Elephas maximus indicus: one gene and its partner. The protein of the gene in region 2 purifies or fractionates together with the protein of the main gene of each other region. This does not show direct contact. Links are inferred from orthologs where the notes say so. Each region holds a gene or a part of one and is shown on either strand. Other genes may lie near its edges.

Evidence for each region.
Region 1: the proteins of cytochrome b-c1 complex subunit 7 (region 2) and cytochrome c oxidase subunit 6B1 purify together in Homo sapiens (affinity purification with mass spectrometry; 3 studies listed by BioGRID and IntAct, counting the BioPlex papers as one, with this or other methods). This does not show direct contact. The link is inferred for Elephas maximus indicus from reciprocal best matches to the Homo sapiens genes UQCRB and COX6B1.

What each region holds. Positions count from the first base shown.
Region 1 is NC_064829.1:114,618,002-114,621,749, reverse strand, and holds the start of cytochrome c oxidase subunit 6B1, read right to left. Parts: upstream 2,934-3,748; 5' UTR 2,827-2,933; intron 968-2,826; 5' UTR 957-967; coding exon 851-956; intron 1-850. UniProt on the Homo sapiens protein: Component of the cytochrome c oxidase, the last enzyme in the mitochondrial electron transport chain which drives oxidative phosphorylation.
Region 2 is NC_064833.1:45,713,996-45,717,743, reverse strand, and holds the start of cytochrome b-c1 complex subunit 7, read right to left. Parts: upstream 2,582-3,748; 5' UTR 2,546-2,581; coding exon of another isoform or gene 2,527-2,545; intron 2,518-2,526; exon of another isoform or gene 1,842-2,517; 5' UTR 1,678-1,841; coding exon 1,656-1,677; intron 1,432-1,655; coding exon 1,360-1,431; intron 1,335-1,359; exon of another isoform or gene 821-1,334; intron 528-820; coding exon 361-527; intron 1-360. UniProt on the Homo sapiens protein: Component of the ubiquinol-cytochrome c oxidoreductase, a multisubunit transmembrane complex that is part of the mitochondrial electron transport chain which drives oxidative phosphorylation.

The sequences.
Region 1 (3,748 bases), on a different chromosome or scaffold from region 2:
ACTTTCACCTAAAGCACAATAAAAAATAAAAATAAGAAAAACAAAAACTTAGCAAGTACAAAATCAACCATAATGAAAGAAATGAAAAGAAATTCCATAAAAAAAAAAACCTCCAGGCACTCCATTTCCCTCCATTCCATCCCGTTGCACGCAGGCATCAGGTTACATTTATAAGAACGTCTACAGCAGCATCATTCTCAGAGTCCCAAGCTGGAAACCACACAAGTGTCCCTGAAGAGAAGAGGTAAGTTGTGGAATACAGCGGAGCAATAAAAATGAACAAACTACATGCCACGGCCTGGCTGAATCTTAAAAATGTGAATAAACACATCCAAACACAAAGAATACATTTAGTATGTATGAAGCTCACTGAGAAGGAAACTTAAAAACTTGGTGATAAAACCCCAACTGTGACTGCCACCTGTGGGGTCATACCTCTAGTGGGGAGAGTAGGGGGCTGTGTTCAAGACAGGGCACGCAGAGGGCAGGGGAGTTCCGAGTGCTGGCAATATTCCACTTTCGATTCAGGCTATGGGTGCTTGGGGGTTCATTTCAGAATTATTCATGTAGCTGTACACTGTTTTATGTACTTCCTGTACATATGTTGCATTACACACACACACAAAACCAAACCTATTGCTGTCCATTCTTTAGAAATCAAAGTTTGTGATCGTGGCCGACCCTGGACATGCTGGCACTAGCTCTCCAGAGGTAAAAGAGGAGCTAGGACCAGTGTTAGGATGCATGGGAGACCCCAGCAGGGTGGGGGAAGGGGGAAGGAAAGGGGAAGGGGGGACTTGAGGCATGAGACCAGGGGAAGATCTGTGTTCTCCCACCACACCTTGCTTACCCAGGTAGTTCTGCCAGCAGTTCCTGGTTTGGTTCTGATTGGGGAAGCGGCTGTCAAAAGGGGCAGTCCGGTAGTTCTTGATTTTGCTCTTGATGTCTTCTGACATGGTGATGACTCCTGGAGGAGAGGGGGTGGGTGTTGGTAGGGACTCTGGGGTGCCTAGGCATGGGATGTCCATCCACCCAGGTCCAGACACAGAACGGATAGAGAAAGGACAAATCCATATCTCTGGGTGTGGAAGTCACAGCACAGTTGGGGACTACTCCTTAGCAAAATCAGGCCTGGCCCCAAATACACTGCCTACCACATGCCAGGTGCCGTTCTACACTTTACTCACAACAGCCCCTCTGTAAGGTAGAAACTGTCCCCACTGCACAGACGAGGGGACAGTGTCTAAGTCGCTTCCCAAGGTCACACACCATACACATGGTGGGGTGCTACACTCAACCACTGGCGTACCCTACACCATAGAGGCCGTGAACCCCTCAGGGGCCAGATGAATCCTATAAACCTTCCTTAGAATGTGTTTAAATATATTTTAAATTGCATAGAATCACAACAAAAACCAGTTATATCTTGCTGCAGCTTTATCAACCACGATTTTGAAGGAATCACACGTGAGAAGGATAATTCTATGAAATCTGCAGCAACTGTAATGTGACATAAAAAAAAAAACCCTGTTGCCATTGAGTCAATTCTGACTCATAGCGACCCTACAGGACAGAGTAGAGCTGCCCCATAGGGTTTCCAAGGAGCGCCTGGTGGATTCAAACTGCCGACCTTTTGGTTAGCAGCCAAACGCTCAACCACTGCACCACCAGGGTTTCCAATGTGATATAACAGTATCTGTGATTTTGACTGGTGACCAAAATACAGGTGCTGTTAATACTACGGAGGCTGCTGCCTCCATTCTAACTGAAGGAAATGCTATATTTGAATCAGAGGTTCCTAAAAATACAGATGTAATTTGTCCCCTCTTCAAGCGCTAGCATCCCTCGAATTCTATAGACTCTGCGGACATAGGGTTAAAAACTTCCGATATAATGTCTCTAAAGAGCTGAAGCACAGTCTTCGCCTGGGAATCTGCGAGAAACTGCCTCTGAATTGCAGGGAATCCGCGGCGTCATGGGTAGCAGAGAGATGCCCAGACCGGTGTTCAATTCAAGCGGCCAGCGCAGCAGTAGGGGTCAGGAGCATCGCAACAGTCTTCGGGAGAGGGGAGGTGGAGAGGAAGTCGGAGAGGAATGTAAAACACCAGCTGCTGGAACACAGCCGTGGGGACAAAGAGTAGCTTTATTCGGGCGAGATCTCAAATCGATATTTGGATGACGGTGGATCTGGGGTGAGGACGCGGACTTCCCAACGTCCAAGGAAAAGGAGGGGTCGGATACCAGCCACGCCGCGGTCCAGGCTAGCCCCGGGAGGTCATGCCTGCGGCCTGGTGATTAAAAGCACTGCAATACACACTAAACCAAAACCCACCCAAAATCCCGATTCCGACTCATAGCAACCCCACAGGACAGAGAAGAACTGCCCCAGAGGGTTTCCGAGGAACGGCTGCTGGGCTCGAACTGCCGACCTTTCGGTTAGCAGCCGACCTCGCAAACCCTGCGCCACCAGCGCTCTGCAGTCCAACTACTGGGTCCGAATCCTGGTCGCTGTGTGAACTCCGCTACGTCGCTTCCGTAACATCTCAGAGCTTCAGTGTCCCCACTGTCAAAAGGCGGTCATCCCAGGCTCGACCTCACAAGGGTGGAGGGAGGATTAAATGAATATAAGCAAAGCGCTTGAAAAGCCGCCTGGCATTAAAAAAACACTGCACAATCGTCAGCTGTGTTCACAGAACAGGCCCCCGGAGGCTCACGGGGAAGCCCGGCGTCACCGGCCGAAAGCCTCCCTCTGTTCTCGGGGAAGCTGGGGTCTGGTTCCTCAGTCCCCCGGCTGGGGTCCTAGGCTCCCCTGCCCGCCATACTCACCTAAAGACACCCCTGAAACCGCTCGCAGCTCAATGTGACCCTCAGAAGGCGACGCCTCTATCGGACCGGAAGCGGAATTAAGAGCTGACGGAAGTGGAGCGAGGCGAAGCATTGAGGAGTCTTTCGCGCGGCTAGAGCGCCCGCGGGGAGGCGGTACCCGGAAGCCGCTCTGGCACCGCCCACCCATGGAGCTCCGCCCTCCCATTGGGCTCACTGCCTGTTCACCATCACTCCCAGGCCAACCGTGAGCTGGCGCGGCACCTGGAAAGGCTCCCAGCTGGGGCTCGGGATACCCACTTACAGGCTCTCATGATCTCCCTATCTTTACCCCAGCAAGGTAGTTGTGGGTCCCGGGGCTGGCTGGAGAACGAGCCTGGAGAAGGCTATCCCATTGGAAGGACGTTTATTTGTGCAAGAAATATTTATTGAACGCTTACCCTATACCATGCAGTTCTATTAAGCGTTGAGGATACATTTTTGAACAACAAACACCAAAGTCCCTGCCTTCATGATGATTTTTAAGGGGCCAATTGTTAGAAGATTGAAAACAAACCAATCTCTCCCCCGGGGTTACTCATCACGTTTTGACCCAGACTCCACCTCCCTGCTCATCATCTTTCTCCAAACTTCATAAAAAAAAAAAATTTTTTTTAAACTTCATAAGGCACCAATTAATAAAGATTCGGGTGACTTGGGGCTGTGATGAGCCCTGGTGGCGCAATGGTTAAAGCGTTCGACTGCAAACCGAAAGGTCGGCGGTTCGAAACCAGCAGCGGGAGAAAGATGTGGCAGTCGGCTTTCGTAAACATTACAGCCTTGGAAACCCTATGGGGTCGCTGTGAGTGTGACTTGACGGCAGTGGGTTTCGTGTGGTTTGGGTTTGGGTCCGTGAAGAAATGATTCCATCGCGGCCTTAAAAACA
Region 2 (3,748 bases):
CAGTTCAAAGGGTGAGGACTAAATGGGCTGATGACACGAACAACATGATCTTTTAATCTAAGGAACCAGAGTGTAAAGGGGAAAGCAGCAATGGCCTGGGGGGCTGAAGACCTGACTACAGTCTCGAAACTCTGTATTAGAGACTCACTAAGCGTTGTGGAAGCGTCACTTCACCTCAATTTGTTCATCTCTAAAATCGGGCTAACACTTGCTCTATTAACCTCTCCAGGCTGCCTGCTGTAAGGATATTTATCTCACAGAACTCTGTGAACTCTAAAGCTCCAGACAAATGTGCTCCTATTGTTACACACACGCAATCCTTACTTGCCAACATTGTCAGATACATAAATTTTGCTCTACCTCCTCGTATTTTGTCCACTGCTCTTTAGGCAAGATCTGGTGTTTCAGGGACAGGTCTAGTGCTCTTTTAATGCGAAACATCCTGTCATTATAAAGGTTCTCAGGAAGCCTTCTTATGGCTTCTTTCACATCTTCATCCTCATATAAAACATCATCTCGCATTAACCCTAGGACAGAACACAAGAGAGTCAGATTGAACATTCACCTCTAAAATCAGGAATTTTTTTTAATGAGTGAAACAGATTATCTATAACTTAGGACTTGGGTGAAATATCAAGGGTTCATGTTACTAAGTACAGTGGAAATCTACCAACGAGTGTTACACATAATAATGGAATATTTCCTAAACAACATTTAAGCCTTTTCAAATCCACTGCCACAATCTCACATTTTATCTAGCCAATTTTAAAAATATTTAAAATATCTACCTTGTTTTTAAACACACATCAATGAATCATACCTGTATTTTCTTATACTTTAAATCTGAGATTGAAGAACCTTATGATGGTAGTATACTAGGGAGTCAGTAACATCTATCGGAGCTTCCATCAAGCTTCGATAGCACAAGATGAAGTTCATGGCAAATTAAAAAGTTCTGAAAGAGTTCAGGAGTCAGATAATGGTAAAGATGTCAGACAATTTTAATATTTGAAAAATCCATACTTTCAATGTTTATGTAACTTAAAATTTAAAACATGAAGTGGAAAAGATGGAAGGGGGGAGTGTATTATAAGGAAAATGTCCTAATACCCTAGTTCAAGAACATAAATCATTTCTACCTCAACCACCCAGATGATTCCATTTCTCTCCTGTCAAAAGAATAATAAAAAGGAAAATGGGTTTACCAAAAAAAAAAAAAAAGGACCTAATTTAAAAATCTTCTGATGTACACAGGAACAATTATTTTTTGGAACTATAATGACTCTTGCAGAACCATCACTCTCAGAAAATGAAGAAAAAAAAAAAAAAAGAGAGAGAGAAGGAAACACGGATACTCACCGAATTTATTGAACCCTACAGCATTGTAATACCATTTTCGAATACCATTCAGCCACCGGCCTGATGCTGCAACTGATATTGTCACACTGTTAGTTGTTACAATTCACTCATACTCTATGAACACTCTGATAGGCAAGCGACCCGTACTATTAAAGAATTCAAACACAGAAGGGGTTTCCTTTTGTAAGTTTACACAATGCAGGTAGTCCTTGACTTACACCATATTCAAGTTATGGCAAACTGCACTTGCAACCGTCTGGTTTTTTTTTGTACATCTTATTGTTAGTGATACGTACTATATACAGTGTTGCAGCACATAATTTGCTGTTATCATTCTCAGATGTTCACCTGCAGATGCTCATATGTAATGTTTCTATCGAAACATCAAATACAAACTGAAGACGGATTTCCTCCCCAAAAAACTGAAGGTGGAGAGATGGGGTACAGCCTCAGAACTTCTCCTTTGTAGTTTCAGAAACAGACTGTAGGAAATAACCGTAAACTTTGTTTTTCCAGGGCGTTGGGTTGTATGTCGTATGTAAGGAGGGTGAGATTGTAGGATAGGCTGGCAGGCCTAAATGGCCCCTGCTCTCTGAATTTTTATCTACATTACCTTTATTTTACTTGGACACCCTCTTAAAAATATGTATTTTTGGAAGGATTTTAATACCATTAGTCCATTCACTTAACCTGGTGACACAGTGGTTAGGAGCCTGGCTGCTAAACAAAACGGATGGCAGTTCCAATCCACCAGGCACTTCTTGGAAACTATGGGGCAGTTCTACTCTGTCCTATAGGGAAGCTGTGAGTCGAAATCGACTCGACCGCAACGGGTATCTCCTTGGGCTTTGAGGGTTTCGGGCCGCATACTCTTCTAAGGCCGAGGGGAAGGACTGTGGAGCATAGGCAGCTGGAACGCAGGATTGTCAGAGACTACGGCTGGCACCTTCACAAACAGCAGGTCCACAACCCAACCCCCTACACAAGCCCGGCCTGGGGAAAGCAAAAGGGTGCGGGAAACACGTCCTTTGACAGGGCCGGAGCCGCTATCCCCCCTTACGCCGCAAACCTGGCCACCCAGAGTGACCACAGGAAAAGGAGCAAGAAGCTGCGAGTATAAAAGGCTTAGCGCAGCAATGCCCACCAGGAAAAATACCAATCACTTACCCGAAGACCTGCCCGCCATTTTGACCCGAGAACGACGCGTTGCCTACTGGGTAAGTCCTGGAGGACAAGCTGGGCCCAGTGCGCAGGCGCATAACGTCACTCCCTGACTCGTGGGAGGCCACCGCTTGCGGACGCCCGCGCAGGCGCAGCTCTGGCGGCCGACGTCAGGCGCCTGCTGTCAGCGCTTTTCAACAGGGTCAGAACGAGGGAGTCGTTTGCGCGTTTTTCGCAACCGGTTCCAAGAAGTGTTCCTTGCGACAAGATGACTAGACAAAGAATTAGGAGACCTGAGTTTTGGCCCGGTTTCTCTTACCTACTAGCTGTGAGAGCTTCAAAACCAAAACAGACCAAACCCGTTGCGGTCAAATCGGTTCCGACTCATAGCGACCCTATAGGACAGAAGTAGAACTGCCCCATAGGGTTTCAGAGGAGCCGCTTGGTGGGTTCGGACTGCCGACCTTTTGTTAGCAGCCGTAGCTCTTAACCACTACGCCACCAGGGTGTCCAAAATGAAGGTACGGGGATTGAACCGAAGGCTTCGCGCATGCTAAGCACGCGCTCTACCGGTGAGGTATAACCCCGGGTGATGACAGCTTGGGCAGCACTGAGACTTTTGTGCCAAGCGTGTTGCTGAGCGTTTTACCAGCATTTTCTCATTTGATTACCCAACAAATCTGTGAGTTAAGTACTGTACTTATCCCCATTGTAGAGAAGACAGACCTCAGAAGGGTTGAATAGTTTGTCCAAGGGCACACAGGAAATACAAGAGAACCCAGATTCTAATTCACTGCTCCTTGATCGTAGGGCTATGTGCTACACTATTAACCCAGGAAAGACACTACACCTCTCGTGTCTCCAGCTGAAGACCTTCATCAAGCCACTTAAGTGGACGATTAAGTCAAAGAAAAGTTTAAGAATATTAAAGCTATACTGCAGAATTTGTGTACAATTTTAAGATACAAGCAAGTCCATAGTGGCCGCAGCCCCAACATGTTAAGTCTAGGACATAAAAATCTAGGAACAGAAAACGATTGATACTCAAATCAGTTACGGCTAGTTATACCAGTAGTTCTACAACGACCCACCAATATCCACCTTTTTTTTCCCCTTTGGTCTTGAGATCTGGGATGGTACAGGGCTCCATCTCATTATAAAGTCAAGGGGTTATTAGATGTAATGGTGGAGTTAATTCCAACTCATAACCATGTGAGTTAATGGTCGT